Linked DNA regions of Canis lupus familiaris. The main gene of each other region encodes a partner of the protein of the gene in region 4 in a complex. Links are inferred from orthologs where the notes say so. Each region holds a gene or a part of one and is shown on either strand. Other genes may lie near its edges.

What was found.
Region 1: the proteins of S100B (region 4) and CAPZA1 are in contact, whole or in part, in an NMR structure (PDB 1MQ1), measured with the Homo sapiens proteins. The link is inferred for Canis lupus familiaris from reciprocal best matches to the Homo sapiens genes S100B and CAPZA1. Residues at the interface, in NP_006263.1 of Homo sapiens: Glu46, Glu47, Lys49, Val53, Lys56, Val57, Thr60, Phe77, Met80, Val81, Ala84, Cys85, Glu87; in NP_006126.1 of Homo sapiens: Thr265, Arg266, Ile269, Asp270, Trp271, Asn272, Lys273, Ile274, Leu275.
Region 2: the proteins of S100B (region 4) and RPS6KA1 are in contact, whole or in part, in a crystal structure (PDB 5CSJ), measured with the Homo sapiens proteins. The link is inferred for Canis lupus familiaris from reciprocal best matches to the Homo sapiens genes S100B and RPS6KA1. Residues at the interface, in NP_006263.1 of Homo sapiens: Ser42, His43, Phe44, Leu45, Glu46, Ile48, Val53, Val57, Ala84; in NP_002944.2 of Homo sapiens: Ala697, Met698, Ala699, Ala700, Thr701, Ser703.
Region 3: the proteins of S100B (region 4) and CAPZA2 are in contact, whole or in part, in a crystal structure (PDB 3RM1), measured with the Bos taurus proteins. The link is inferred for Canis lupus familiaris from reciprocal best matches to the Homo sapiens genes S100B and CAPZA2. Residues at the interface, in NP_001029727.1 of Bos taurus: Ile37, His43, Phe44, Leu45, Glu46, Ile48, Lys56, Val57, Thr60, Phe77, Met80, Ile81, Ala84, Cys85, Phe88; in NP_001013016.1 of Bos taurus: Thr267, Lys268, Ile269, Trp271, Ile274, Leu275.
Region 5: the proteins of S100B (region 4) and FGF2 are in contact, whole or in part, in an NMR structure (PDB 2M49), measured with the Homo sapiens proteins. The link is inferred for Canis lupus familiaris from reciprocal best matches to the Homo sapiens genes S100B and FGF2. Residues at the interface, in NP_006263.1 of Homo sapiens: Glu47, Ile48, Lys49, Glu50, Gln51, Glu52, Asp55, Lys56, Cys85, Phe88, Phe89, Glu90, His91, Glu92; in NP_001997.5 of Homo sapiens: Arg164, Tyr166, Cys167, Lys168, Asn169, Gly170, Gly171, Phe173, Arg186, Lys188, Asn243, Asn244, Tyr245, Arg262, Lys267, Gly275, Gln276, Lys277, Ala278, Leu282, Met284.

Annotation. Positions count from the first base shown.
Region 1 is NC_049238.1:63,669,879-63,676,662, reverse strand, and holds the start of CAPZA1 (F-actin-capping protein subunit alpha-1), read left to right. Parts: upstream 1-2,456; 5' UTR 2,457-2,911; coding exon 2,912-2,950; intron 2,951-6,784. Other genes in the region: ST7L (suppressor of tumorigenicity 7 protein-like), read right to left, coding at 109-191, 1,985-2,456. UniProt on the Homo sapiens protein: F-actin-capping proteins bind in a Ca(2+)-independent manner to the fast growing ends of actin filaments (barbed end) thereby blocking the exchange of subunits at these ends.
Region 2 is NC_049223.1:72,901,644-72,907,773, reverse strand, and holds part of RPS6KA1 (ribosomal protein S6 kinase alpha-1), read left to right. Parts: intron 1-878; coding exon 879-1,004; intron 1,005-1,226; coding exon 1,227-1,316; intron 1,317-1,686; coding exon 1,687-1,845; intron 1,846-6,130. UniProt on the Homo sapiens protein: Serine/threonine-protein kinase that acts downstream of ERK (MAPK1/ERK2 and MAPK3/ERK1) signaling and mediates mitogenic and stress-induced activation of the transcription factors CREB1, ETV1/ER81 and NR4A1/NUR77, regulates translation through RPS6 and EIF4B phosphorylation, and mediates cellular proliferation, survival, and differentiation by modulating mTOR signaling and repressing pro-apoptotic function of BAD and DAPK1.
Region 3 is NC_049235.1:55,890,420-55,897,158, forward strand, and holds the start of CAPZA2 (F-actin-capping protein subunit alpha-2), read left to right. Parts: upstream 1-2,458; 5' UTR 2,459-2,565; coding exon 2,566-2,604; intron 2,605-6,739. UniProt on the Homo sapiens protein: F-actin-capping proteins bind in a Ca(2+)-independent manner to the fast growing ends of actin filaments (barbed end) thereby blocking the exchange of subunits at these ends.
Region 4 is NC_049252.1:39,766,299-39,770,949, reverse strand, and holds the end of S100B (protein S100-B), read left to right. Parts: intron 1-209; coding exon 210-348; intron 349-1,822; coding exon 1,823-1,963; 3' UTR 1,964-2,909; downstream 2,910-4,651. UniProt on the Homo sapiens protein: Small zinc- and- and calcium-binding protein that is highly expressed in astrocytes and constitutes one of the most abundant soluble proteins in brain.
Region 5 is NC_049240.1:18,219,575-18,225,704, reverse strand, and holds part of FGF2 (fibroblast growth factor 2), read left to right. Parts: intron 1-1,938; exon of another isoform or gene 1,939-2,700; coding exon 2,701-2,886; 3' UTR 2,887-3,353; coding exon of another isoform or gene 3,354-3,751; 3' UTR 3,752-6,130. Other genes in the region: NUDT6 (nucleoside diphosphate-linked moiety X motif 6), read right to left, coding at 3,354-3,751. UniProt on the Homo sapiens protein: Acts as a ligand for FGFR1, FGFR2, FGFR3 and FGFR4. Also acts as an integrin ligand which is required for FGF2 signaling. Binds to integrin ITGAV:ITGB3.

The DNA.
Region 1 (6,784 bases), on a different chromosome or scaffold from region 4:
CACGCCCTGGGCCGAAGGCAGGTGCTAAACCGCTGAGCCACCCAGGGATTCCCCGATATTTGATCTTTAGATAAATACCAAATCATGAAGGAAATGGAAACTACTTACAAATATTAGTCCTGATATCAAAGAAGATGTTCCTGTAAGTGCCACATAGAATTTGGGTGTCAATGAATTTAAAAATACTGTCACTGCAAAAGGGAAAAAAAAAAAAAAAATCAAAGTTTAAAAAAATGCAAATTCAAAATACTCAAGTTACAAATATGCAGGAGTCTTTATGAGCGGAGGGATATAAATAGTGTTAATATCCAGTATGAGATTCATTTGAGAAAGTTGTAACTTTTAAAAAGGCACTTTAAATTCCCGTTCCATCATATCTTAAAAATTACCTCCGAACCTGTAAGGGTAGCATTTTAAACTGATAATTTGTTAAATAAGCAAATAAAGATGAGATAATTTAGATTACTTTTGAGAATTAAGAGATTATAAACCGTAACTTTGGTAAGAAGTTTTGCATATCCCTAAGGATAAACTAAATAAACATTCTGCTACAAAGGAGGTTAAAAATCACTCCCTAATTATTTTGGTGGGATACAAACCAGCGTTTTAAATTAGAAGGAATTAGCATGTGCATGTATTTGGTATGTCAGCTAGAGAGGCAAAATAAACCAAAGAGAAGAGCAACAGATCGAGAGAGATCTTTGCATCTGACTCACTGAAAGCCTGGACCAGATTTTCCACTTCAAATAACTGTCCCATAAACACAACAGGTTTCGGAAATAAATAAAAATCAATCATAGTTAACTACTTTCATCTAAATGGTGTATCTAGTTAACACATGGAAAAATAAATGATAAAGTCAACGAATAGTTTTTGCTGGGCATATGACTAGTGAGCACTTCATTAACATTACAGAGACACCAAATCAGCTCTTTCAGCCAATATATTTAGTTTGTTTTGATATGTTACTTATATCTGAGCTGATATACATAACCTATGTTCTAAAAAGTCCAAAATATTTCAGAACATTATTTTACAGTATTTCATGTCATCCTGTCAAATAGGTAAGGGAACATGTGCCTTTTCTTGCGACAGAAAACTAAACCACAGGTAGGGACAGTCACAGCCATCACACAGCACAAGTACTTTCATCTTGTTCGGAGCTTGAGTGGAAATATTATCAAGACATGGTAAGAGGCCCTGGGCTCCCATCCGCTTTGCCCTGGCTACAGGTAAGGGGCAGTATTTGCAGAATCCAGGGAATCAGCATCACTTCTTACACGTCCTCGTATGTTCAGCTCAGACTACAAAGCAAGCTCTCTATAAACGTTGAAAGGAGAACCCATCACTGTTGGTGGCTCTCTTTCCCTTCACTTCCTGTGCCGTTTTATTACTCCGGATAAAGCCTACAGCAAAGAACAGGCCAAAATACCACGAAAACCATTTCTTGACAGAACTATCTCAAGATGAGACAATGGCTGGCTAAGTTCACGGCATTTTTTTTTTTTTCTTTCCTTTTTGGCCTTTGAATACATAAGCCCTCATCTTTGTTGTCTAGGTGTGGGAACTCTTCATCGGCGAGAGACTCAGAAGAATGATTTTCAAGGGATTCTACCAGTGCTGGGGGTGTATATAATTCTGCAGCCGATAGGAAAACGCTCTCATCTGTTGCGCTACCTGAATCCTACAGCTTGTCAGGTGGCTCTTCCGCGCGCGGGTCGACGAGGACAGAACCGGGAGGGCGGATCTTAAGAGCTCAAGGGAGGAGCCCATAGCCGAGGCTCAGGTTTGACAATCAGCTGCGGACCTGCGGCCCAGGAGAAGAGCGCCCTGGACCCCGCACCGCCGACTCCTTCTCCGAAGGCCTGCGGGGACTGCGGACAATCTCCGCCCTTTGCCCTTTGCCCCCAGCCACTCTCCTAGCCCCCCTCCCCCCTCCCCTCCCCCCCCCGCCCCCGTCCCCAGGGAGGTCTGGGCCTCTCACCCGCAGCCAAGTTCTCACACAGCCTCAGCGGAACCCTCAGAGCGTAAAGCAGTCCGAGCCCCGCCACGAACCACAGCGAGGGCCCAGTCCCCGCCAGCCCGGCCCGCAGTCGCTCCCTCCAGCCCAGCGACGGGCTCGGGCCGGGAGTAGGTGCGGGAGGAGCGGCCGCAGCGCTCGCTGCCTCACCCAAGCCGCCGCCGTCCGCCATCTTGCCGCTCCCGCACGCTCCGGGAGCTGGGAGGGGAGAAGGGCAGGAAACCGGGAGTCGGGAATCCTGGGATAGTGGCGGACCTGAAGGTGGCCTCTGTGAAAGCTCAGGTCCGAGGAACGCGGACCAAAGCCATTTGGAAGGTGGAGGAGCGTCCCAGTCTACCTTTCCTTCGGAGGGCGGGAAGGGGAGGCTAGCGGCGCCGATTCTGGAGGAACTGGACTGAGATGTGACCTCGGACTGCTGAAACGTTTTTGCTTCCATACGGCTGAGGGTCACCTTTAACCCTGTTTATGGGGTTGGAATAGCCACCGGCCGGTTCAGGGCCCGAGCAGCACGTAACCCTTTGGACTCGGCTGCCACGGAGATCACGGGTACTGGGAAAACCTATAGTAGCCATCGCTATTTTGTCGGAAGGAGCTCGGGCGTCAGTAGTCGAAACACGCTCCCAGCGCCTCCTGGATGAATGGGGACATGAATGCAACTCAATGAGAAAGCTGTTAGACTTAAAATCCTTTAAGGACCAGCCTTGAGGCCGAGCTACGGACTCCCCGAGGGCCGGCGCTCGGAACCCGCACCCCCGCCAGTAACTGACATGGCGCCCTCTGGGCCGGCATTTCCGGGCGGGTCCTTCCGACGGCCCCCGCGGTGATTCCATCACTCAGCTTCCTTCCCGGCCTGCCTCGCGCCGGGGCCGGGCTGGGCCAGAGCAGCCCAAGATGGCCGACTTCGAGGATCGGGTGTCGGATGAGGAGAAGGTAAGGGGTCCGCCTCTCTCTTTTGCGTCCTCCCGCGACAGGGAACAGGGGCCTGACCTGGCTGCGGTGGAAACCCTGGCAGTGTCCCCAGGTGGAAGAACCTTGCTGGGCTGTGCTGGCGGCATACCCGCTGCAGCTGGGACACTTCCGTCTCTAGGGGCATTCCTCTGCCTCACAGTGGCCCCAGTTCCCCATTCCTCAACTCTTTTCTCTCCCTCTGGGCCCGAGTGACAACCCAGTGACCTTCCCGGAAGAGGAAAGACTTTCCTTTATTGAGTCGTGGCTGTGGACTCTTTTTCTGTGATTAAGAGCGGGGTGGATGGTGATGTCTCGGATCAGGAAGCAGGTATTTTACCGCCTTTAACTGTCGGGGCTCGCCCCAGCCCCCCATTTTTAGATATGATTGAGGCTAGTTTAGGGCGAGTCACTTCCTGGTCAGGGTGGCCTCTTAACTTCCCTTTTGCTCCTCCTTCCTCAGGAAGTGATCTTGCTGTCACGACTCCTCGACAGGGAGAGGTCCCCGTGTGTTGCCCGCCCGTCCACTTTTCTCATTATTGGCTGAACTAATTCTCAGTAATAAATGTGCAAGCCTTAGGATATTTACCTCAGGATTTGAACACCACTCTTACCTATAGACCCTCCCTTGATTGATTGCACGTATGTACACAACAAGCCATGACTCTCCATCCCTTGCGTCTTACATACTATTAAGGGTAATTTTTGAAAAATAGTTTTTCTTGTTCACAAGTCAAGAATAGCCAGCGGATTTTTTTTTTTTTTTTAAACTCCATAAAGGTTTTATATAGCACATAAACTTCATGGTTAACAGATTCGGTCTGGACAAAAGCATCGTCTTTGATGCTCCACTGTGGTGTCATTGATTATAGTTAAATTTGTAAGTGTGTAATTTGCGTATTTACTTCTTTAAAAATGTTTTAAGTACAAGCGCATGCTCTGCGTTAGGTGGAATGACTTTTTGCTGACAACTGTACAGCTTTCTTAATGCTTTGTCAGGCTTTTCAGTAAATACTTGATTTTAGGGCCTGCAGAAATTAGAATGATTTCACTAGATGACTCGCTATAGGACAAGAGTTATGTCTTTTATTTATTTCCCACAGTGGCTGTTACAAAAGGTGCAGTCTTGTGTGCTCTATAAATGCATCTGGGCTCTTTCTTTTTTAATACAAGAGAAGAGATGACACAAGGGAATGTTAATGACCCAAGAGTATTCTGTACAGAGTAGTTTGATATGTCATACCTATGTATGCCATGTCATTTTGAAACCCTGAAGAATGTGCTAAACACAAGCCATTGAATAATACTTTGGCGTTAAATTTTCTCGTTCTTGAAAATTTTTGTGTGTAAAACTTAGGGGAGAAAAGGGTGTCATATATGAATTTATGCCGAACAGAATCTGCAATAAAATGTCTAGTCTAAGGCAAATAGTTATGATGCCGGTGAAATTAAATTATAGTAAAAATCACAATAACCCTACATTTGTTAGCTGAACTGATGGTTCACTTGTTTTAAGGGAAAATATTGTTAAAATTTCACTAAATACTACATTTACCAATATTGTTGGGTTTTTGTCATTGACAAAACTAGATGACAAAATTAGAATGCCTTTTTAATTAAACTTGAGAAAATGTATTTCAAGTGCAAATTGAGATGTCTTTAGACATGACAATGTTCAACAACATTAATAGTCTTGATTTTATAACAGCAGATTTGTGACCAGATTTGTAATCTCTTAGCATACTTTTGTTGCTTAATTTTAATAATGATACAGCAAACGTGTTAAAAAATATTTTTAAAAATCTTTAAAAAAAAAAAGATTCTTTTCCTATAAACTTTTCACAATGAAAGTACAATTACAGAAAAATTTTGCTTATTTTTTAAGATTTTATTTATTTATTCATGAGAGAGATACACAGAGAGAGAGAGAGAGAGAGAGAGAGGCAGAGACACAGGCAGAGGGAGAAGCAGGCTCCATGCAGGGAGCCTGATGTGGGACTCCATCCTCGGTCTCCAGGATCACCGCCCTGGGCCGAAGGCAGGTGCTAAACCGCTGAGCCACCCAGAGATCCCCCCCCAAAAAATGTTAAAATCAGGGATATTTTCAGACATAATTTGTATTGATTCCTCCTTGAAGGAACTCTGAAGTTTCCATTTTATCCTTTTTAAGATCTTAATTGCATTAGATTTCGAGTTTTTAAGGCATTTATGTCATGATGCTGAATATATTTTAATATTGCTTTTTATCTTTGTTGCATCTCCTAAAAACAGTGAACCCAGAGTTAAATTTGGTGTCGATAGTCTTTGATTTCCTTGCAATTATTTCTATAAAAGCTGGTAAGATCAACCATTCTCTTAAGTAACTGCTTGGGGTTTTTATCACTTTACAAAGAGGAAGTTGGGTTTTTTAACTTCTACATTGTTACCTGAAATGGTCATGATGAGCTGCCTAAATAAAACAGGAAGCTGAAAGTATAAAATAACTTGCAAAATAAATGCTTTTAGTTTTATTCTTGAGTTTAGTTTCTGAGAATAACAATGAGTGTATTCTTCTATTCACTTAGAGTCTTCAGTTACTTGGTTCCAAATGCTTAACAAGACCAAAATGACAAGATACTGTAATTAGGAAACTTGAAGTATGAGACAAACTACTTGCTTGGGGTCCTTGCACTGTCTGTTTCCTTTATTTCATGATTCAGCATTTTTAAAACAATTGCAGAAAGAATTTAAGGCCGGAAAAAAAAGTGCAATTAGCATATTTTTCCCTTCAGCTTAACTAGTAGAATATTTGTGAACCACCTCAAAAATACCATAACTGAGAAATGAGTCTGTATGCTTTAAGCTTAGACAATTATATCATCTCTAAGGCACTTTTTTGAGAAAGAGGTTTATCAAAATTATTTAGGAGAGATGTGGAAAATGTGAATAGATACAGAAATTTGAGGGCTCTCTCAGAGCTCATGAAAAAATACACATTTAAGCTGGATTTTTAAAATGTATATTACCTCCTTAGTTAATAAACTAATAATCATCAAATAAGATGATTTATTACCGTCATAGGATAAACGCTAGAGCTTATTTGCAATAGGTATTTTCTGACAAGTGATCAATTAGTGTTAATACTGCTATTCTTTTATCTTCCTTTTTTTCATTTGGTTTAGCTGAGTAGTTTTCATAGAATCTGTTAAAAAATCCTTAGATGGGAGCATAAAGCCTAAGCAGGTACAAATTCAGATGCCCCATCTTTGGTTAAGAGTGTAGGTTTATTATAATTTCTCCCAGAACATCTATTTTATTAGGATTAGCCTTAATGCTAAGCAAAGTATTATAATTTGTCAGAAAATTCAGACTCAGGTTTGTCTGAATCAGAAGCCTTGTACTTTGCACTTTACTGTTTTTCCCATGTAACCATGGGCGAAAAAAACAGAATAGAGTTGTCCCTTCAGAGAATTAGAAATGAAATATTGTGTTGTAGTGAGAAATAATGATTCTGAGTGTCAGGAGATTTGGCCTCTCTGCTGGGCTTTTAGCACCAGTGGATTTTGGAAAATTCACAGTGGTGGTGTTAACCTGTGTGGGCCTCCGTTTTCTTGTAAACTAGATAAAGAATTGTATCAAAGTAACTCAACAAAGTTTATTGAACTTTTTTTTAAGATTTTTTTATTTATTCATGAGAGACACAGAGAGGCAGAGACACAGGCAGCTGAAATATTAAAATATTTCAAGAGTTTCTGTCTGCTTTTGCACATTTGCCCTGATAACAAAACTGAATTCTTTGGTAACTGAAACTGTATCTTTTTATTTAGTGCCTAGCATAGC
Region 2 (6,130 bases), on a different chromosome or scaffold from region 4:
GATGAGACAGTTACCTTCCCAGTGCTCTATTTCCTCAGCTGTAAATGGGGGTGATGATAGAACATTTCTCCATAGGTGGTTTGTATGTGTAAAGTTAAGGTGACTAATATATTATACCATAGGGAGGTCTTTGTCCAGGACAAAGTTTTTTTTTTTTAAAGATTTTATTTATTTATTCATGAGAAGCACAGAGAGAGGCAGAGACACAGGCAGAGGGAGAAGCAAGCTCCATGCAGGGAGCGCCCCATGTGGGACTCCATCCCGGGACTCCAGGATCACACCCTGAGCTGAAGGCAGATGCTCAACCACTGAGCCACCTAGGCATCCCCAGGACAAATATTAAACCAGACTGGATACAAGGACAACAAGCCTGAACCAGGGGTCATGTGGTCACCTGCTGAAAAGTACTGTGAATAGGGCCACACACTAGGCACCACAGAAGCATTTGCTATTATGAATGGCTCAGAACTGTAAGACACCTCATGAGGTGGGCTATGACACCCCAGAAGGGGGAGGCAACTCACACAAGTTCACAGAAGGTGGCAGAGTTGGGACCCAGCTCAGGGCTCCTGCGTCCCTCAGGCCTGCCCTGCTTCCTCAGAGCCACAGATCTCTCGATGAGTGTGTTGTGGCTCTGTTGCCTGCCCCCCTCACCCCTGTCTAACCACAGCCTGGAGCCGTTGCAGGTGCCCATATAGAGTAGAAAACTGAGGCCCAAAGGGCCAGATTCTTGCTCAAGGTTACGGGACCAAGATTCTGCCCCAGGCCTCTGGCTCTTGCCTGGTGCCACCTCCACTGAGCCAAGGCCTTGGATGCTGGGGGATGACCCCCACATTCTAGAGTAGAGGATCAGCCCCACCTGTTGCTCTCTCCTACAGCAACTCCACGGGAAAAACCTGGTTTTTAGCGATGGCTACGTTGTAAAGGAGACGATTGGTGTGGGCTCCTACTCCGTGTGCAAGCGCTGTGTACATAAGGCCACTAATATGGAGTATGCTGTCAAGGTGAGCCTCTTGAGCGTGTCTCAGCCAAGGCTGCTGGGCTGTGGGGGGAGGCCAATGTAGTCTTGGCCCTTTGGTGGGGGAGGGTTGGTTCCTTAGGCTCTGTGGGTGAGTGAAAGTTATGTGGCTGAGACTGTCCCCCAAGGCCTACAGGGTGGGCTCCATGGCAAGGATGGACTCTGGAGACTGTCCTCCTGATATTGCCCATGTACTCTCTTTCCTCAGGTCATCGACAAGAGCAAGCGGGATCCCTCAGAAGAGATTGAGATTCTTCTGCGGTATGGGCAGCACCCCAACATCATCACTCTGAAAGACGTAAGTGGGGTCCTTGAGACTGGGATGGGGCTGGGGCACTCAACTCTGGGATTTGTCTCAGGACTACCATTCCTTTGATTTCTAATTTTCCTCTGCTCATGAGAGGAAAAGATCCTTGCTTCCCAAGTCCCTCCACTTCAGGCTCAGGCATTCTCAGGCATTCACTGCCCCTTGGTGGACCAGTGCCAACATCCTCCTGTCTAGGGAGGACAAGGCCCCAGATAAGTGAAGCCCCTGTGAGGGCCACTGAAGCACAGAGCAGAACACATGTCCAAGGCTCATGTCATTCTTTCCTGGCCTAGTGACCGGGTAACCAGGGGGCTCAAGCCTGGCATGGAGAGGAGGGACCTGATGATGAGGTCTCTGGCAGGTGTACGATGATGGCAAACACGTGTATCTGGTGACAGAGCTGATGCGGGGTGGGGAGCTGCTAGACAAGATCTTGCGGCAGAAATTCTTCTCCGAGCGGGAGGCCAGCTTTGTCCTGCACACCATCAGCAAAACCGTGGAGTATCTGCACTCCCAGGGGGTAAGTCTGGGGTAGGGGGCACTCAGTGGGGATGATGGGCTGCCGAGGGTCATACCATCACTACAGTGCATGAGCCATGGCCTGGCCCAGGCAGTAGTAGTCTTCAGCCAGCCAGACAGAGGGGAGACTAGGGATGGTGGGTGGGTAAGTAGATGCATGTAAGGAAGGGAAGGAGGGAGAGATGAGGCCAGATTGTGAAATGGACTGTTTACACAGTACTTACTGTGTGCCAGGCACCATGCTAAGTTCTTTCCTTACATTATCTCAATTGATTTTCACAACAATGCAATGAGGCAAGTGCTATTATTGGCCCCACTTTACAGGTAAGAAGACCAAGGCTCAGAGACGTGAGATCACTTGCCCAAGGGCACACAGCCAGGGAAAATAGAGCCAGAATGTCTGACTGAGGCCTGTGGTTGAAGAGCTACAGATAGAGCTGTGAGTTGGGAAGCAGCAGGGCCAGCAGGGAGTTGAATCTGGTTGTGGGTTTGGCTGCTAGGACAGAGGAAGTGGATGCAGGAAGAAATGCTGCTGGAAAGATAGCAGGTACTAGAGAAGAGGTATTTGTCTGAACCATACGACTTGGCCTTTATCATTGCATAGGATGGTGGTAGAAAATTTACTGTGGTGTGTATAGAAGCTGAAAGCAGAGTTAGCATGAGTTTCTCCCTGGAGAGATGATGTTTTGGGGTGCTTCCAAGTCAGACAGCGTGGGTTCTGGGATCCAACGATTAGCTGTGTCCAAGTCCAGTGTGTATGGTTGGGAAGGCCTCTCACCTCTCAGCCGCTTCCTTATCTGCAGACTCAGGATAGTGGGAGCCGCCACCTTGCTGCACTGGGGAGGAATAGGGCCAGATCATTGCTGTGCCTTTTTTTTTTTTTTAAGTTAACTTTTTATTAGCAACGATTTTAAACATATACAAAACTATGATAAGAGTATAATGACCCTCCAGATACCCATCACCCAGATTAAAGAATTGTTGAGATTTTTATCTCCCTTCTTCCCTTTCTCCCTTCTTCTCTTTCTTTTCTTTTTTCCTGTTTCTTTCTTCCCTTCCCTTCCTTTCTGCTCTCCTTCCTTCTTTCCTTCTTCTGCTTTCTCTCTCCCTCTCTTTCTTCTTCGATGTTACTGAAGTATTTCTCCCAACTTTTTATTGAGGAAAACATTCAAAGTTAAAAAGAATCTTATAGGGATGCCTGGGTGACTCAGTGGTTTAGTGCCTGCCTTTGGCCCAGAGTGTGATCCTGGAGTCCTGGGATCGAGTCCCGCGTTGGGCTCCCTGCATGGAGTCTGCTTTTCCCTCTGCCTCTGTCTCTACCTCTCTCTCTATGTCTCTCATGAATAAATAAATAAGTAAATTTTTTTTTTTTTAAAAAGAATCTTATAGTGAAAACCATTTCCCTTCTAGGTTCACCAAATCTTAACAATCTGCCACATTTTCTTGATCTTTGTTTCTCTCTTAGTCTCTACTTCTCTATCTTTATCTCTACATATAAATATACATTTTTTATAGTTGCATTTGAAAGGAAGTTGCAGACGCTATGACACTTGGCTCATAAATACCTATAATTAAAGTATTTTCTTTTGTTTATTTTTTAAGATTTATTTATTTATTCATGAGAGAGACAGACTGAGAGAGAGAGGCAGAGACATAGGCAGAGGAAGAAGCAGACTCCTTGCAGGGAACCTGACGTAGGCCTCGATCCGGATCCCGGGATCACGACCTGAGCTGAAGGCAGGCGTCCAACCACTGAGCCACCCAGGCATCCCTAATTAAAGTATTTTAAAACATATCTTAGACCTTTCATAATCTTAGTTGTAGATCCATAACTCTAAAAAAGACATTTTCTTTCATAACAACTCTCAAAATTAACAATTACTGTGTTCACGTAGTAGTCAATAGATACACTTCCCTATTGACCTTTCAAAAAATCTTTTTTGCCATTAGCATGTTGGAATCACAGTCTCTGCATGATTTACATCTTTCATTCACTTGTTACTCCCTTAAGTCTCTTTAAAAGCTAGGATAAAATTTGCGTACAGTAGATATTAAGTGTATAACCTGATGAGTTTTGTTAAATGTGGCATCATTTATGGCATCATTTTAATTGTTTCTGTATTGCCTATATTTCTGAAGTCTTAATTATATTCTGCATCAACTTCTTTTCAGAAGCAAGGAGTTAAAAAACACTTCATGGGGGCACCTGGGTGACTCAGCCAGTTAGGCACCTGCCTTTGGCTTGGGTCATGGTCCTGGGGTCCTGGGATTGAGCCCCGAGTCAGAATCCCTGCTCAGCGAGAAGCCTTCTTCTTCTTCTCCTCCCTGCTTGTGCTCTCTCTCACTGTCTCTCTCTCAAATGGATCAATAAAATCTTTTTTTTTTTTAAGATTTTATTTATTTATGAGAGACAGAGAGAAAGAGAGAGAGGCAGAGACAGAGGCAGAGGCAGAAGCAGGCCCCATGCAGAGAGCCCAATGTGGGACTCAATCCCAGGTCTCCAGGATCACGCCCTAGACCGAAGGCAGCGCTAAACCGCTGAGCCACCTGAGCTGCCCTAATAAAATCTTAAAAAATAAAAACAACAACACACACTTCATAGGAGGTGCAGTGTACTTCATATGGCATCACATCCCCAAGCACAGTGTAACTTGGCCCCCATTAGTCATTGGTCCTCTCAGGTGGTCACAGTCTAGGGATGAGTGAATGGGTGGCAAGTGGTGAGTGAGTCTGATGGTGTCTTGTAAAGACTTGCACCAGCCTTTCATGGTTTCATCCTTTCAGGATCTTCGCCTGAATTAATCATTTCATTAGAGTTTGCAAAAATGGCAATGTCTGATTCTGTCTAATTTATTAGGGAAGATTCTTTTGTAAAAAAAATAATCAGAGCTTTAATTTGGTTACCACATGTACTGCTTTAATGGTCATGTTTGAAGAAGTTTTGGCTTTTGAAATGGTCAGTGCAAATAGGCTAATATTTAAATAGATCAGGTCAGATAGTAAATGCTTCCTTTTCCTGTTTTGTTCTCAAGTGGGTGAGTACTAGGTAAAGTTACCCCAGGAAGGTTTAGAAGACAGAGCCAAAACAGTGAGTTTCCAGTGGGTCACCTAAAGCTCAAAGCAAGGACAGACTTTCTAGAGTAAGAGCTGCTTCCTTAAAAAAAAAAAAAAAAAAAAAAAAGAGCTGCTTCCTCTACTAGGGATATATAAACTCTAAATACAGACAACCACTTGGTGAGAGTGTTATGGGGAAAAGTTGTCTCTTTCCCCATGCCATGAGTCTGTGGGTCTCTAAATTTTCTGGCCCTTTCCAAATACCAGGGGAGATGATGAGGAAATGGGAAATTCTCATTGAGGGATTAGAAGGGAGATTCTTTGAGCTGATTATGAATTGGCAGTATCTGTAGTCTAGAAGCTGGGAATCTCCTAAGAGGGATGGGAAGGGGATGACCAGGAACAGGGCCCACTGGGACCTTCTCTTTGATTTAATGTTATCTTTTTATTGAAGTATTACATAAACATGAATCATAATGTACAAGTCAGTAAATTTTCATAAAGTGAATAAACACACACATAACCAGCACCCAGATTGAGAATCAGAGCTTTTCTAGTTTCCCCAAATTCCCTCATATCCCTTCCAGGCCCTGCACCCTTCCCGAGGATAACCATTCTACGCTAACTGCTAATAGCTTAGATTAGTTTTCCCTGTCTTTGAATTTTACATACACATACTCTGTTGTATCTGGCTTCCACCACACCACATGCTCTCTGGGATTCCTCTACCCTGTTGCCCTGTGACTGTAGCTTCCTCATCCTCATTTCTGTGTAACTTCTGCTGTATGAACAGACAATGCTTTGATTGTCCATTCTACTGTTAATGGACATTGAGTTGTTACCAACTTTTGACTATGACAAGTAAATAATGTTGCTGTAAGATTCTAGCACTGTCTTTTGGTGACTACACATGTGTGGCTTTTGTTATTGTTGTTGTTGTTTTTTAAAGATTTTATTTATTTGAGAGAGAGAGAGAGAGAGAGAGAGAGAGAGGGAGGGAGGGAGAGACCATGAGCAGGGGGAGGGGCAGAGAGAGAGGGAGAAGCAAACTCCCCATCCAGTAGGGAGCCCGATGTGGGACTCGATCCCTGGACCCCAGGATGATGACCTGAACCAAAAGCAGATGCCCAACTGACTGAGCCACCCAGGAGCCCCACACATGTGGGTTTTAATGCTGTGTACAGACCTAGCAGTGGACCCTCCGGGTTGCAGTGTGCGTGTGTGTGTGTGTG
Region 3 (6,739 bases), on a different chromosome or scaffold from region 4:
ATTGTGTCGGGAAGGAATATTTTGTTTTCTTTTCATGATAAAATAACTGGTTATCAAGAATACTAGTATATTTTGGGGCACCTGGGTGGCTCAGTTGGTTAAGGGTCTGCCTTCAGCTCAGGTCATGTTCCCAGGGTCCTGGGAGGGAACACCTGTCTGGCTCCCTGCTGAGCGGGGAGCCTGCTTCTCCCTCTCCTGCTCCCCCTGCTTGTGCATTTTTTCTCTCCCAAATACATACATAAAATCTTTCTAAAAACAAACCAATAAATCCCTTCACTCAGTAGGAAATGAGTAGCTGTCAACAACTTTTGAACAGTAACACGACATTAGAAACATGCCCAGCAAGATCAATCTTGCTGCATGTAAATGACACATGTGAAAGTACCTTCACACAAGTCACTATAAATCTAGAAAACACTGCTATTAAGTAATTTACTGAGTGTTCAGAGTATGCAAATCATTGTTTCTTGTGGATGGAAAGCAAACAGAAACCATACTATTGAAAACCTTGTAGTCCATTCTGGGAGAGAACAGGAAGGGGATGCTTGCTGACACGTGAAGGAAAAAGCAGGTGTGTTGTTGAGGATAATGGTGCAGAGAAGGTATGATAGAGAATAAACCACACGGTTTGGTCAGGGACCTCATCGGATGTAAATAAATAATATGTTCATTTTTCTATAGTTGACAGGTCATTCATTCATTGCTTCATCAATTTCTCACTACAACCTCATGAAGTAAGGTATCTATCAGCATTACTATACCCATTTTCCAGGAGAAAAAAACGAGGCTGAATATTTGTTCAAGTTTGCACTCAAGCGACTAAATTGCTATTAGAATCCAGGCCTCTTGAAAAAAAAAAAAGAATAATCCAGGCTTCTAACTCTGTATCCTAAGTTGTTGCACTTTGAGATCTTTCTTCCTCTCTAAAGTCTAGGCACTCTCCTCCATATACAACCTAATGAAGGTGATTACTCTCTCCAACTGATTACTATCAGTTTTAGTCATCACCACTTGCTGCATCAACTCTACTTCTGGGTTTTTTTTCCCCCTTTCTTCTGTTTTTTGTTTGTTTCTGTTTACTTAGCAACACCTAATATTAATGTGTACACACTGGGTTTCTCAGTAGATGCTGTTGCTTGACTAACAGGCTGCTCTTTTCCTCTAGAAACCTCACCCACATTTGGTAATGCTTTGCAATAATTTGAGTCACACTATCTTCATAATCTTGGTGATACTTTATATGCGTCTCTTCACAGTGACACAACCAGCAGTTATGTATCATTTCTGATAATCCTTTCAGAAATCTCCCAATACCATCTTCTTGATACAGTTAAAAGAAATTATAGAATTCATGCGCTTGACTGAATGAAGTCTTTAAAAATATTTTTAAAATTGAGACATAGTTGACCTACAACATTGATTTAGTTTTAGATGTACAGCATAACGATTATAAAGTCTTAAGTCCTATCTGAATTCTACAGGCCTTGCTAAAAAGTGTGAGAGAGCTTGTTATAAAGGCAGATTCTCCAGCCCCATCGCAGACCTCCTAGAATCAGTAACTGCATTTTAACAAGATCCCCAGCTAATTCACATACACAGTTTTTACTACATTTTCACTCTTTTGCTGAACTTGAAATGTCACGAGTAAGCTTCTCAGATTTTGCAAATCAAAGTAAAGGATTCCCATACAATTTGAAAACCACCAACACCGTCTCAGTGCATCCCAAATGCTTCATGGGAGGTACTTATGCATAAACGATATTCACTGTTCATCTGAAATTCAAATTTTACAGGGCTCTCTGATTTCAACCTCGCCATGAAGTTCAGAAGAGTAGGAACCACGTCTTCTAACACAACTTTGTCTTCCCCCACCATAGCACAGCGCCCTCCCCAACTGCTCAGTGCTTGTTTCCAGAGTAGACAGGGAGCCTCTGGAGAGCAGAGATCTCTGGTTTTCTCTCCTCCTTGTGTATTTGCAGGGACCAACCCGGCACACGGTAAAGGACCAGTTAACATTTCTTTAAGTGAATGCACGACTGACTGTACCGAGAGCAAGGTCCCGAGTGTGGGCTGGGCTGTGCGTGCATATTTTAATAAAGACGGAATATTTTTCTAGTGATTTGAAGAAAACAGATGGTCTTGCAAAGCTTCTATTCGTCCGCTGTTTCCCCGGGTGGCTGGCAGAGCCGAGGGCTTGACGGGAACACGATGGAGGGCTCAGGATGGATGGGCTCAGCATGGGCTCAGGATGGGCTCAGGATGTACCCGCCGCAGACGCGGGCCCAGCTGCTCACCCGCGGCGGCAGGCCCCGCCCCCCGGCGCTCGGCCCCGCCCCCCGGCGCCGGCCGGCTTCCCGCGCATGCGCACAGCCGCGCCGGCGGGGAGAGGGGGGAGGAGGAGGAGGAGGAGGAGGAGGCGGGGCTTCCGGGGCGCGTGCGCGGCGGGCTGGGCGGCGGGCCTCTCCCTCGGCGGGGGCGCGCGGGGCGCGGAGGACCGCACGGCGCGAGGGGGAAGTCAGGTGGCCGCCGCCGCCGCCGCCGCCGCGGTCTGTCGCCGGGAGGAAAATGGCGGATCTGGAGGAGCAGCTGTCCGATGAGGAGAAGGTAGGAGCCGCGCGGGCGGCGGAGGCCGGCGGCCGCGGAGGGGCCCCGGCGTGTGCCCTCGGCCGCCCTTCCTGCCCGCCGGTCGCCGCGGCGCCTCAGCGCCTGCCGCTGTCAGTCACGGAGGCCGCGCGCGGGGGCAGGTCTGCGCCGGGCCTGCCTCGCCGCGCCGCGCCTCGCCGCGCCTTGTAGGGTGTGTGCTCTGGAAACAGGCGGCGGCGGCGGCGGCGGCGGGGGCGGCGGGGGCGCGGGGGCGCCGGGTCGCGGCCTGGGCGCGGGGCCTGGGCTGGCGGCTGCCGCCGGGCTGAGAGCCGAGGGCCGAGGGCTGAGGGGGCAGGCGCCTGGGAGGCCGACCCTCGCCTCCTCCCTCCTCCCTCCTCCCAGAAGCCAAAACGCTTCCTTTTCTGGTTCTCGACGCTTTTTTTTTTTTTTTTTCGCTTTTTTTTTTTTTTTTTCTCCTTTCCCAGTGGAAGTCTCTCTTCTCCCTCCCCCCCTCCCCCCCCCGCCGTCTCCCGTTTCTCTTTTCCGGCCGTCGCCGTAGCCGTGCGGCTCCGCGGTTGGCTGCGAGGCGGCCCAGTCGCTCCCCGCGACCCCCGCCCGCCCCGCTCCGCGTCGCCGTCTGCCGCCCGCCCCGGCCCGGCCGCCCCGGCGCCGCTGTGGTGGCGGCCGCGCCAGCTTCGAAACCTCGCGAACGGCCCCAGAGTCTCAAGCGATTTCGAACAAAAAGGAATCTGATCCTAAAACTGGGTCTCTGAGGTCGCCCCCCCCCTTTCCCTGTGAGGAGGGCCCATTCCCCAGGGAAGAGGGGGAAGGGGGGGAAGGGGGGAAAACGGGGGGGGGGGGCGTATTGATTTTCCGCATTTTCCCGGAAGAACTTTGACGTTTCTCAAACTCAGAAACGTTGACGGGACCTAATCTGTGGATTGAGATAGTTACAGTTTTCCAAGCGTCCACTCTTAATTTCACAGTGTTCACCTTTATTTATTTATTTATTTTTATTTATTTATTTATTTATTTTTTAAGTTCCAAAGCGGTACAGCCGCGGATGAAACACACTTCAGGGTGTTTAAGAAATCCTAATGTAAAGCCTAAGGATATTTTCAGTTACAGCTCTGCTCCATGTTTTTTTTGTTTTGTTTTGTTTTGTTTTTTTAATAGCCTGGGATGTAAACCAGCACCAAAATGTAATGTCCTGTCGCCTTCCCGATGTAAATGTGCATTAGTGGGCCTCATCTTCGATTTTGGAAATCTTCCTTTCCTGTCTTTTCCTTCTTTCCTTTACCCTTCCCTTCCCTTCCCCTCCCTTCCCCTTCCTCTTCCCTTCCCCTTTCCTCCCCTTCCCCTTTCCTTTGCTTTGCTTTGCTTTGCTTTTCTTCCCTCTGAGCCCTTTGGTGCAAGTGATCATAAAAGGACAAGATGGGGAGAGCTGCAAGGTTCTCCCTAATTCACGGACCTGGCAGGCAGATCCCTTGCATATGCAAAAGTTGCTCTGAAGTGTGCACTTGTGCTATAATAGGTTAAATAACCATGAGTTCACCACAGAAAATGTTCAGGATCCGAGCACACACGTTTAAAGTTAGTGCTAAAGGTCTTTAAAGGGATTGTCATGGTCTCATTCTGCTGTCCTTAAGTAGTGGTTAGTAGTTTAAGTGGCTAGAATCTGGCTGAGGAGAGAGAATTCAGTGCGGCAGTTAATAGAGTCCTGCCGTGTGTTGTAAAGGCCTAAAAATGGCAAAGTTTTCTCCAAATGAATTGACGAGGTTCCTCATTATCTGGCATTCTCAGGGCACTAAACTCCCTAAAGAGGAGGGAGGAGGGTGTCTTAATCCTCCAAGCTTTCCCAACTTGGTGGTTTAAGACTAAATGAATGAAAATTCAAATTTGGGGCGCCTGGGTGGCTCAGCGGTTGAGCATCTGCCTTAGGCCCAGGGCATGACCCCGGGGTCCGGGGATGGAGTCCCATCCATCTCGGGCTCCCCGCAGGAAGCCTGCTTCTCCCTCTATGTCTCTTCCTCTCTGTCTCTGTCTCTTATGAATAAATAAAATTTTAAAAAAAGAAAAAAAATTTGAAGGAATTTGGTGTTTTTGTTGTTTCCTAAGACTATTTTGTTGATATTTTCATATATAGTTCATTGCTATATTTAGTGATTTAAGAAGACCAAACTTCTGGGTTACATTCAAATAACTGGTGAAATGAAATGCTAACACACTTGCCACTTTAGTTATTTAAATGTTCTTTTAATCTTTTGTGAGTAGGTTGGGTATAGAATCAAATAAAATTTTAAAAGGTGGTATTTTATTTTTATGTATTTATTTTTGGTATTTTAAAACTAATATTTAAATCGTGTTACTTTTTCTGCCACCTTATTTGTAATTTTCAAAAATAAACTTTTAATACTATTAAGCTGTTGGAATTTCCATTATTGATTGAAGATCTGAAGAAGGGAATCTGTTAATTTACATAATACCCGTACATTGGGTGGCCCAGACCGGTACATACATTTGTTAATATGTTGTAAGTTTGAGGTAGGTTTTATTATACCATTTCACAGGTACATAAAATAAGGTTTCAGTAGCTTTTAAGTGATTCACCCAAGGATGCCTAGGTAAGAAGTGGCAGAGGGAATATATATACATATATTTTAAAGATTTTATTTATTTATTCATGAGAGACACAGAGGCAGAGAGAGAAGCAGGCTCCATCGATGCAGGGAGCCCTATGTGGGACTCGATTCCAGGACTCCAGGATCAGGTACTGAGCCAAAGGCAGACGCTCAGCCACTGAGCTCCCCAGGTGTCCAGGCAGAGGGGATATTTATACCTGTCTGTCTGAATCCAGAGTTGGTACTGTTGTGACAATTACGCTCCCTTGACAATGAATGATAGGATCTTTTCTGGCTTTATCTTTGTTTTCAATTTGTTGACAACTTCTTTTGGAAAAGGAGAAAACAGTAGTTCTTTTTGTTTTTACTAAAAATTGTAAATATCTAACATTAATAGTGTTGCATTATAAACTGAATTTGTTTATTTTAGGACAAAGTTTATTATTTACACATTTTAAAATTTTATGCTACTGGTATAGTTTCATATATGCAAACTAAGGTAGGAAGCATTTTATAAAGATTCATCTAGAATAACATCTTTGTTTTTTAAAATCATGTACAATTGCTTTGTGAGGATACCACTATGAAATTTAATAACCTTTTCACCTTTGGCCACTAGATTAATAGGAAATAAAATTATCTGAAGAAGCACAGTGATGTTCTTTAAAGTTACTCATTTGTGGTAGCACGTCCCAGAGATACTTTTTTTTACATTGTTTAGAAATTCTAGGCCAAAAACAGTTCATGTTTTCCATTCCTGGGGTTAGTTGCATTGTAGAGTAAAGCAATTTTGTGAATTTGAAATTATGTGAAATTACAGTATAAAGCAGGAGAATTAATACGTTTCACGCCCCTCCTAACAGAGGAAAGTCACTCCCGAGCTCCAGAAGGAAGACAGTTATTAGTTGGAAAGGATCTTTTTGGTTTTTTTTCCCTATAACCCCTCCTACCTTTCTCTGATGATAAGAGTGATCCACTTCCATAGCTTCATTTTTATGAACATTTCTCAAATACATAGCTCAGTCCTAACTTCCCTTCTGAGCACTAGTCACACATTTTTATTGGCTCGTCCTTTTCACAGGAGACAGTTAATGAGATGTGTTCAGACGGAACCTTCCTAAGAGTAAATTCATAAACTCCCTCCCTTCCCCTTTCCTTCTACACCAAGTGGGGCAGAAATCTATCTCCTGCTCATTTTTCTCTTTATTTCTCTATTTCCATTATTCTAGTTATCCTGGTTTTTAACTTCAGCTTTATGTTAACTTTTGCCTCCTCGAGCTCTGTACCTTAGAGTCTGTTTCTGAATCTTGTTGCTCCCATCATCAAAATGTGTCTTGTGCAAAAAATTTCTTTTTGCTTGAAAAGGTAATTCATTTATATTAATTTTAGTTTTTTACGTCTCAGTTGACCAGACTATTAAACTATTATTTACATTATTAACTACTATTGTTCAGTAACAAAATTTTATGGTATGAATAGAATACAAATTGACTATACCTGTTCTGTGACTACACAGTTAAGGGAGAAATAAAGCC
Region 4 (4,651 bases):
GGGTGACGGCGGGGCCAGGGCCGCGGCTCAGCTTGGGGTGCCCCGTACCCCGCCCCCGACGTGGCGGATGCCCCCCCTCGGCCTGCTCCACACACCTCACTTGGGGCCTTGGCCTCGGAGCCCACGGGGGGGTGGTGGGCCAGGGGGCCAGGGGGTGGAGGGCGGCCCCGAGGAGCGAGGAGCGCTGAGCCACTTGTCTCCGGCGCCAGGATGTCGCAGCTGGAGAAGGCGGCGCTGGCCCTGCTCGACGTGTTCCAGCAGTACTCGGCGCGGGCGGGTGGTGGGCGCAGGCTGAGGAAGGCCGACGTCAAGGAGCTCATCGGCAGCGAGCTCGCCCACTTCCTGGAGGTGAGGCCCCGGGCCGGGGGGCGGGAGCGGCGCCTCCGGGGGCCCAGCACAGTGGGGTGGCGCCAGCTCGGCCTTGGGGCCCTCAGGGGGCCACTGGCTCCACGCTCAGGCTTGGGGAGACCGGCCGCGACCCCGCGTGTCCCCCGCACCCCAGGCCCGAGCCCTCGAGGCCATGAACTGCAGTCCCAGGGCACCTGCCTGCCCTGGCCGCCCCGAAGGTCACCCGTCGGACCCCACACGCGGGAAACGGCCACGCCATGAGCCGGTGCGTGAAGGTCTGACCACGACCTGGTTCCGGAGACGCTGCCGGAGCGCTGGGGTCTGGCCCTGCTCACGCTCGGGAACCGCCCCCCGATCCCCAGGCCCCCCAGTGCCCTCATCCCCCCAGTGCCCCCAGTCCCCATCTCCCCATTCTCCTGTCCTCCCAGGCCCCCCAGCCCCTCTCCGTCCCCCCAGACCCCCCCTACAGCGAGGCAGCACCACAGCCCCACACGGACTCGCCCTCGCTGGGACCCGCCTCCCCAAGGCAGGGGAAGCACCTGCAGGCTTCAGAGCGGGGGCGACTCCTGGGGGACCCAGGACGCTCCTCTCAGGCAGGGGTCGAGGTGCACGCCCCTCAGCCCATCCCTCCCACCTCCTGACCTAACAACCCAAACCCCCTGGTTCCTCTGTGAACAGGATTGTTCTCGGGATGAAAGGAGACAGTGTTTGTCAAGTGCCCAACATACACTGGAAGCTCAACAAGTAATTTTCAATAACTGTTAATCATTGATTTTTAAAAATATTAATTATTGGTTTTAAAATGATTAGTAATTATTGATTTTATCAGCAAATCATTGATTTAAAATTACAGCTTTAAAAGCTTAGCACGTGGGAACCAGTTTATAAAATAGTTCACGGTGAGCGCGGCCGGGGGTCATTGCAGAGAAAACACTTTCAAAACCCGAAACCTGGGGATCCCTGGGTGGCGCAGCGGTTTAGCGCCTGCCTTTGGCCCAGGGCGCGATCCTGGAGACCCAGGATCGAATCCCACGTCGGGCTCCCGGTGCATGGAGCCTGCTTCTCCCTCTGCCTGTGTCTCTGCCTCTCTCTCTCTCTCTCACTGTGTGCCTATCATAAAAAAAACAAAAACAAAAACAAAAACAAAAAAACCCCGAAACCTGCGGGAAGGACTTCCACACGCAGTGAGGAGCTCGGGGAGAAGCAGAAGTCCGTGCTTCTGTCCATGACGCCATCCTCCGCGGCCCCCTGGATGTGAGCCCGGCGACGGCGGGCGGCGGGGGCACATACCCCGCATGTCCCACGGTGCCTTTCTGGGAGCGTCCGGTGGGGGAGACGCTGGGGCCCCGGCCCCTCTGCCGCCCCGTGAACATTCTCTCTGCTGCGGACACGTCGCTGCGGTGGCCGAGGGTCAGGGACGCGCCGCGGGCCTCGGCTCATCGTAAGCGGCGGCGCAATTTGTCCTCTCTCGTAGGAGATCAAGGAGCAGGAGGTCGTGGACAAGGTCATGGAGACACTGGACAGTGACGGAGACGGCGAGTGCGACTTCCAGGAGTTCGTGGCCTTCGTGGCTATGGTCACCACCGCCTGCCACGAGTTCTTCGAGCACGAGTGAGGCGCAGCCGCGCAGGAAGCGGAGCGGGGCCGAGTCCCTGGCGCCGTGTAGCTGATTAGGAAGCTTGACGTGCTTTGTCGAGGAGACGCCGACCCCCTTTCCCGGGGCTGACCTCGGGGCCCCCATCCTCCGCTGACGGTCCGTGCGACGCGGTCACGATCCTCAGGAGGGTGTGTGCTCCGCCCGTGGTCAGGGCCGCGCACCCCCCCCCCCCAACAACGCAGCTGCCGGGACCCAAAGGATGGCTCTGGACGCACGTGGGTCCTTGTCCAAAGTACCAAGTTAGAGACGCAGCTTCGCCCCGTATCCTGTGAGAAGCCTGCCTTTTCCTAAAATGGGTTTGTCATCCGTGCGAAGGAAACCCAGGGTCGGGAGGTGGCCTGACACGCCTGCCGCCAGACGGCCAGGGCATGCTGTCCCCGGGTCCCCGCTGAGCCATGGGAGCTCAGCAAACAGGGCTACAGCACTGGGCGGGGGCAGGGGGGGCGGGTCTCCCGGCTGTCAGGGCCGACACCGCATTCTAACCACCTTCAGCGGGGCTCCTGTGCCCCGGGTCACACGTTGGTGCCGAGGCAGGAGCGCGGCTCCCAGCAGGGCGTCCACGCCCCTCCGCACACAGGTGTTCTGCAAACAGCCCCTCTGGCCTCCCCTCCTGTCTGGGAAGCGCAGGTGTCGTTCCTCACTTGCTTGTGCCGAGACAGGGTCTGCCCCGCAGCGGTTGGTGGAGCCCGAGTACGTGGGAAGCTCGACGTCACACATGGGTACCCACGAATCCAAACGTTCAAGTATTAAGTCACTTCCGGGAAAGTTCAGATTAACCTTTTCTGCCCCTTTCCCTGCTGCTTCTTTACGTGCACAGACCTGGAAACCCATAAGCCAATTGATCGCTTGTGTTTGCATCGAATAAAGAGAGCATTGTAACGGGTCCCCGTGGCCTTGAACAGGAGGCTGGAGGGAAACTGCTGCAAAGGGGGGGAAGCAGTAAGGGGCAGGCACAGGAGGCCCCCCAGAGCCAGGCGGGTGCACAGGGCCCGGGACCCTGGGATGTGCCGGGGCGGCAGGGAGTAGATGCGGCGGGGTGGGGGCAGGAGGGCCGGAGGGCAGGCCAGCACCGGGTGGGACACACCCTGGCCGAGGCTCCCACCCTGGACGCAGCGCTGGGGGGCAGGGGGGGCGGGGGGACTCGGAGACAATGGTGGCGGAAGCCAGCGCGCAGGGACCATGTGCAGGGACGGCCCATCCTGCACCCCTGGATCTGTGTCTACACCGCAGTCCCTGCCGGGCGATCCGCAGGCCTTCCTGCCGCAGAGGACGGGGGACAGGGCAGCTGGGATGCCGAGCAGGGTGCAGCGGGTGTGTGGCAGCCCGGGCGGGCCCTGCAGGGCTGGAGCCTGACGCCCCAGGGCCTCCGCCGCCAGGGCCCCTTGCTAAGGAGCAGGTCCCTGGAGGAGCCCTCACAGTAGAAACGCCCCGAATCCTGCCCCACGAGGCCAGGCGTGCACGCAGGGAGGGTGCCCCCTGCACACAAACACCCGCCAGGACCACGTTCCATGGCCGCCTGGCCTCCCAGGCCCGGGCCGACGGCAAGGCTGCTTCAAGAACTCAGCTGATCCTTCCCCTCTGAGAAGTTAGGGGAACAGCTCCGTCGGCCTAGATCCTTCTAGAATCGTGCCTGCCTTCCCTGTAGGGTGGGCGTCCGGAGCGGACGGGGTGGGGGTACCCAGCATCCCAACGCTCCAGGCCCCCACGGGCCTTCCCGTCCTGGGCTCCTGGCAGCCGGGCCCCCGCCTGCAGCTTCCTCGCAGGGAAGGCTGCTGGAGGGTGTCTACACCACAGGCCCCCACCTCCTCTCCCGGGGGCCTCACAGCGTGTGATCCCCGGACCCACCGTCCTGATCCGAGGGGCAGGCGTCGTCTTTCACCACCAAGCAGGGGGCGAGCGGGGGCCGTCGCTGCCCTTTATCCTGGGAGTCTGGCATTTTGTAAACTGCTCTTCTACTTCACTGATCGTGTGGTTTTGATTCTCATTCGACTGATCGGGTGTTCTCACAAAATACACTTTGTATTCCCGGGACAAATCCCCCAGGTCATGGTCTAGGATTCCTTTGTATCGTTTTGCGTGTTGATGGATTTTATTTGCTACTTTTTTTGAGGGTTTTTGTGACCATGTTTGTAAGAGACACGGATCCCTCGTTTCCCAGCCTGTGTAACGGTAGCCGGGGACAGTGGCCTCTCCCATTTCTAGGAAAGTTTTGTGAACAACCAGCATTAATTTGTCTTTAAATGTTTGCTAGATTCCAGCGGTGAAGCCACCTCGGTGGGTAGTTTTTTAACTACTTACGCATTATCTTTACTTGTTATTGGTCTGTTCAGATTTTTCTTCTTGCGTCAGGTTTTGTAACTTTTGTCTAGGAATCTGTGCGCTCGTCTAGTTTGACGTATTCCTTTAGATTACTGCTTATTTTCTGTAAGGTTGGTGGCAAGGTCCTCTTTTATTCTGATTCTAGTAATTTGTGTCTTTTATCTTGGTCAACCTAAAGTTTTGTCAGTTTTGAAGAAACCAGTTTTTTCATTGACTTTCTCTATTGTTTGCTTATTAATTTGTACCTTTATTATTTTCTTTCTTTTTCCTGCTTTTTAGGCTGTTTGCTCTTCTTTTTGCAGTGTCTTTAGGTAGAAAACTGGGTTA
Region 5 (6,130 bases), on a different chromosome or scaffold from region 4:
TTACCTTATTTTTTTTTCATTGTATATCAAGACTTATATTAATCTTGATCATCTGGCTGAGGTAGTGTTGTCTCTACTACAATAAACATTATTCTTTTTCCCGCCTTTCCACACTGTATTCTTTATAAGTAAGTCATTTTACATAGTCCACATTTAAGATAGGGGCTTATTCTCCATCTCCTTGAGGGGGAAATCTCTACAAATTTGGAATTCTTTTGCATGAGAAATTTGTCTCTTCTCCATTTATTTATTTAATCACATCTATCAGTATATACTCATGGATACTGATTTTATACTTTAGGTTATAATCCAATATTGTGTTATTTATTTTGTTCAAACTACTTTTGCCATGGCCATTGGGAACTTTTCCAGTTGACTCCTATACTCTTTGACATACCCCCATCAATGTAGTTTGAAAAATGTAGTTTGTTTTCAAGTGTGTAATAGTTTAGTAAATTTACATATCTGAACATTCACAGGTGCAAGTTTTTCTTCCCTCCCCTTTGTTTTTGTAAAGGTACAAGTAACTTCTATTAAAAAAAAAAAGTGGATTCATGATGTATTATCCACTTAATCACTGGTACTATTACTTTTCTCTGAAATAGTAGGAGCTAGCTGAGAAGGCAGATATTGTTGACTTAATATATATCCCAATAGGTCTGTCATTGTAGGGAGTGCCAACTTAGCAAGGAGGGCACCCTGGAGGCTGACAGAGCACCCCAAAATCAGTGTCCAGAATGATGTGGTTTAGGTCTTCCTCTGGGAAATTAGCCGGAGAAGCTCAATTATAATTATCTTTATGATTACCATGATTTTTTTTCACTCTTGAACCTACTTCTTTTACTCCTGATCTTAAACCTGGAATAGGGAAAGAGGAAGACTTTTTATCAGTGGTACTGAAAGATGACAAAATAAAGTAACACTGGTTGACTTATGTTAAATGAAAAGCATAATAAATTTCACCAAAGGTAAAGTGGAAGTATTGGCCATGGACCATCAACATTTTTCTAGGTATAAGTGTTTCACCATTATCACACTTGAATCTTTACATTTATCACAGAGCTGGGTCCTTGTGCAATGTGTGCTTCTCTGTAATGCTACCTGTCATTTATTTGCATCAGAAGACTAAGTTGCTTTATTAGTAATTTCTTGCAAAAAATGGGCAAATCAGATAAATTCGTATTGCCATTCTTAAAAGTTAACAGTGATCAAAAACATTAAAGCCAAGTAAATATCCAGTTAAATTTTTATCCCTAGAAGCAAATTATAAGATCGAATACCACACTTTAGATAACAGAGACGGACTGTTACTCCCATTTAGATCATTTGCATTTTGGTTATTATGTCAGCTCTTTTCATTGTTCTGTTTATTGATTTACGTTTTTCTCAGTTTGTGCCACTGTTTATCTAAGAACTAAAGAATCTGGAAAAAGTCTTTTGAATGTGTCTTTTCCTAAACCTGAAGTTTCCTAGATTTGAGTAGTAGAAATAAGCTGGAATCTGGTACACTCATTAATACAAAAATATAGGCTGATATCATATATCTATGTATGCATGTTGTACTTAAATGTAAAGATACAAATATGTATAAATTTATATGGTTTTCTATAGGAGTTTATAATTTTTTCTTCCTAATTGTAATATAAAAAGTAAATTAGTTTTCCTTTCTTCCCTTATAGTAAATTATTTGTTGACACCCTCCCGCCCCACCCAACACACACCCCAGGGGTCAGAAACTATCAACAGTCTAACCTGTCAAGTTGATTTTTGAACATTTACTTGAAATAACGTAGCAGCCTATTAGACTCCATTACTTGGAATAGTATTTCCAGGTCTAATTATTTGTAAAGCTAGCTATCCTCCACCCCCAGTAAAGAGTTGAACCTAAATGATAAGGGAGAGTAGTTTCCTCTCTCACAAGAAAGACACTGCCAGAAGTCAGTATGGTCTTTGTTACTTAGTAGTCTCAAAACACTAACAGATAATGATTCATCAGATGTAATGTTCCAATACTTTTTTTTGGCATTATATACATTAGCTATTTTCTGTATAATAAACTGTTCTTTTTATGCCTTAGAAACATTAACCATTAGGAAAGCATTGCTATAGTTTAAGGAATTGATTCTGTTTCTGTGAGTAAAGTAGCAACAAAGCCCTTCTTCTTTAGGAAGGTACTTCTGGGTTACTCTTCTAGCACTTTCATGGAACCCTGATAAAAAGAAAAATGATCCCTAATCGGTAACCTGCCTCTGGACTGGGAGGACTATGGATGCACCATAAATACCTAACCGGAAACCACTAAGTGTACTGCGCTCTTTGTTACTGGGCGTATCCCCCTTTGTGAAATCTGTGTTCATTCACGGGATGTTTCCAGTCTGAGGCAGTGTGGTTCCTATAGCAGCGGTGTGCTCTTGCTGCCTAATACCTGGCCTGTCCATTGTGGGGGCTGGACATTGGTCCTTGGAGTCTTCCTCTGAAGAGATGTGCTTGAAAGCTCTCCCACTGACTTGCTGTGTTCCTTCCTGCATCCCTCTACAGAGTTAGATCCTGTCTGACTTTGGCCTGTTGAGTCTTGCAAACTAGTCTGTCCTGCTCAAGCCAAGAGCACTACTGCTGATTGAGCAGAATGGACAGTGTACTATCCTAAGTATTTCATATGAAAATATAATAGTAACTATTAATTCTTCCTTTATTTTTCAGAAATGTGTTACTGACGAGTGCTTCTTTTTTGAACGATTGGAATCTAATAACTACAATACTTACCGGTCAAGGAAATACTCCAGTTGGTATGTGGCACTGAAACGAACTGGGCAGTATAAACTTGGACCAAAAACAGGACCTGGGCAGAAAGCTATACTTTTTCTTCCAATGTCTGCTAAGAGCTGATCTAAATGGCAGCATCTTATCTCATTTCACATGAAAGAAGACGTATATTTTAGAAATTTGTTAATGGAAGAAAAGAAAAAATGTGTACAGTGATCTGCTCTGTTTGGATAAATGGTCAGATAACCTTTTATCTAATAGTAAATATTTAATCATTGCCTTACTAAAGAAAAAGCAACAAAAATGCCTGGAAAATGTATAGACTTCCACCTTTTATATTGCATTTGCCTTTATCTAGTGAAGCTTACTTAGAGCTACAATCTTTTTCTTACATTTGCTTCATTTGAAAAGAGGCTTTTAAAATTTGCACATTTTCTTCAAGTAAGTTTTCTTCATGTAAATTATACTCATGAGAAAATTAAAATCAGATATTTAGTTAACCCCAAATGTCCACTACTTTTTATAATATGGCACACATTTTTCTGCACGTACAATTTACTTAAGATTTTTTAAAATGTGCAAATATGGATTTAATTCATTCCTGTCATAGTTCTGTAATTGTCTGGCAGTTTCTTGTGATAGAGTTTATAGAACAAGCCTGTGTAAACTGCCGGAAGTTCTTCCATGGTGAAATCAATCTTGTCAAAGCCTTCTCTATACCCATAGAGCAACAGCCTAGCAACTCTGCTGGTGATAGGAGTTGTATTTTCAGTCTTGATCAGGTCATTGAGATCCATCCATTCACACCTTAAGCATTCATGCTGGCAAAAATTTATGGTGAATGAATATGGCTTTAAGCGACAGATGATATACATATCTGACTTCCCAAAAGCTCCAGGACTGGCGTGCTGTTGCCGAATGCTCAGGAGGGACTTGAACTCTGATTTTATACCAGTCTCTTCAAAAACTTCTCGAACTGCTGTGTCTCCTACATAAAAGATAGGTGTACAAATCAGTAAGGATCTGGATTTGCCTTCTGGACATCCTGAAATACCAAAGTATTTTCTTACAACTATATATCTTAGAAGCTTTTGAAATATCGAATATTTCTTTGGCTGCTATTTGTAGACTTACCCACCTGGTATGTATATTTTGGGGGTCACATTTTTAACCTCTTCTGACTCTATTTCCCAAAAGTTGAAAATACAGGTTCTTGCAGTTAACATTCTTACATATTTCTTCATTATTTCCTGTTTGTGATCATCCATCAAAACTACTTAAATTTATACATATCAGTATTGAGAAAAATTGATTCATTCTTCCTTTGTCTGTAGAGCTGCAGAATGTACTGAGCTGTGAAAAGTTCAAAACCTTCCTGGTGATCTTGGGTGGGACTGTCAAGCCTCTAAAGTCATAGAACAGTTTCATTTATAACCATTTTGTTATGCTCCCCTAATTATTCTGTCAGTGGAATCCCATTAGTAATTTTTGGCATTTCCTTGGTTTCTTGAGATTCCAAAGAACTATTTTATCAAAAGTGTTAAAAAAAAAAAAAAAAAGAAAAGCTTGCAATTTACAGAATTTTATAATACAACATGGATTTCACATTTTATAAGGTTGATTTTTCAATATTATGCAAATTTCTGGGACAGGATTTTGATTGCCATTAATATTTCTGTGGTTGCTCTTTCTAAATCTCCAGAAGAACCCCCTAAATGGGCTTTCTCTAATTTTGTGATGCTTTGTCACTGTCTCCTAAAGTGTTTATGAGAAACTCTTTAAATAGCTGCCTTCTTTGCTCAGTTTGCTTAGAAGCTTCCCAATTTCACAATTGTCACAGGCATAGATTTTTGTTCAAAGACCTCTATTCAATGCTTCTATTTCCTTGTCAAATAGAAAATTATACTGGTGAAGAATAGGTAAGGAAGAAGAAATCAAGGAAAAAATCTCAATTTTCCTGTAGTTGGGCTATTGCCTTGTCTTAACAATTGCCTACATAAGCTCATGTTTGTTTGTTTTTTAAGAAACAGCTATAGCAATATGCACAGGAAAAACAAAGTGTTCTAAAATGTAAGACATTTGTCCACCATTTTGAATTAATTACATGCTGACTTCCCCTTGAGATTTTTCATAGATTAAACATGGTTTGAAATTACTGTTTTAAACTAAAAACATAAAAAAGGAATTTATGTGAATAAAAGGAAAATCTTCCTTAAGAAAGATAATTTTCAGCTGGGAATACAATAGATGTTTGTTATTAAATTTGTTACAGGTTGTGGCACTAGTCTTAAGTGAAATCAGCAAATGAGATTTACAATTTAACTATTGTTTAAATGTTTACTCTGTTAGCACTTTAAAAAAAATAACCATGGGGGTTCCGTTAAGCTCTTACTACAACTAATCAAGAATTTGGCATTTCATTTGGAATCTAGCCTTTTTATGTATCATGGAGGCACAGGACAGACTAGTGAGTGAATCTACCTTACTCAGCAGTCACCTTAGCTGTTGATTAGAAATCAGCACCGCCTGGGTAGTTTGATCAGTTTAACTTGAGTCAACATATTATTGACTAGACTAAAAATTGACTGGGTATATAAGTGCTTTTTCATCCAGGATATGAGTGACTCCTTCCTCCTCAAAATGGAAATCTTTACCCCACAGCTTTTTTGCCATGAATTTAGATTTTATTATCCAGATAAACTGCTTTATTCTGTTGTACCTTTATTTTAATGTACTGTAAGCTCAAGTGAAATAACATTTACTATTTTATATGTTTAAGGAACATAGGAAAAACCAAGAAGTTTTCATTTTTATTTTTGCTGATTGAGAGATATGTTTAAATATGTCACAGTGTTTTTGTTTAGTTACGGGACAGTGAAATGGAGTTTATTTTGTTATTTCTAGTTTGTAATATTTAACAATAGGATCAGGTTGAAATAAAATAGGAAAAACTGTGCAGAATGTGGGTTTCCCTGGTGTTTCCCTCTGATGCTGGTGCACTGATGAGCTCTGAACAGACCCCCTGCTGCTTTCTGGTCCTTTGACCATGCAGGAGATTCTCTTCCTGTCGATGGTAATGATGATTTTTTAGGAAGGCATTTTCTCTGTTTTTAACCTTGTAGATACTTTTGTACTATTAGGGTATTATATTAAAGCCTGAAGATTGTATTCTATTTTATATATGCCACCGCCCCCCCCTTAATTTTTTTAAGTGCTTCATTTACCTAGTATTATCAAAGAATGAAGGATTCCAAACAAACGTGTTTCCCAGTTAACTAGAGTTTACTACTCAAGAGCTAATATGAATGTGTGCACATTTGTGATGGTTGTATTCCTAAAATAAATACACTCCTAAATACAGAGTTTA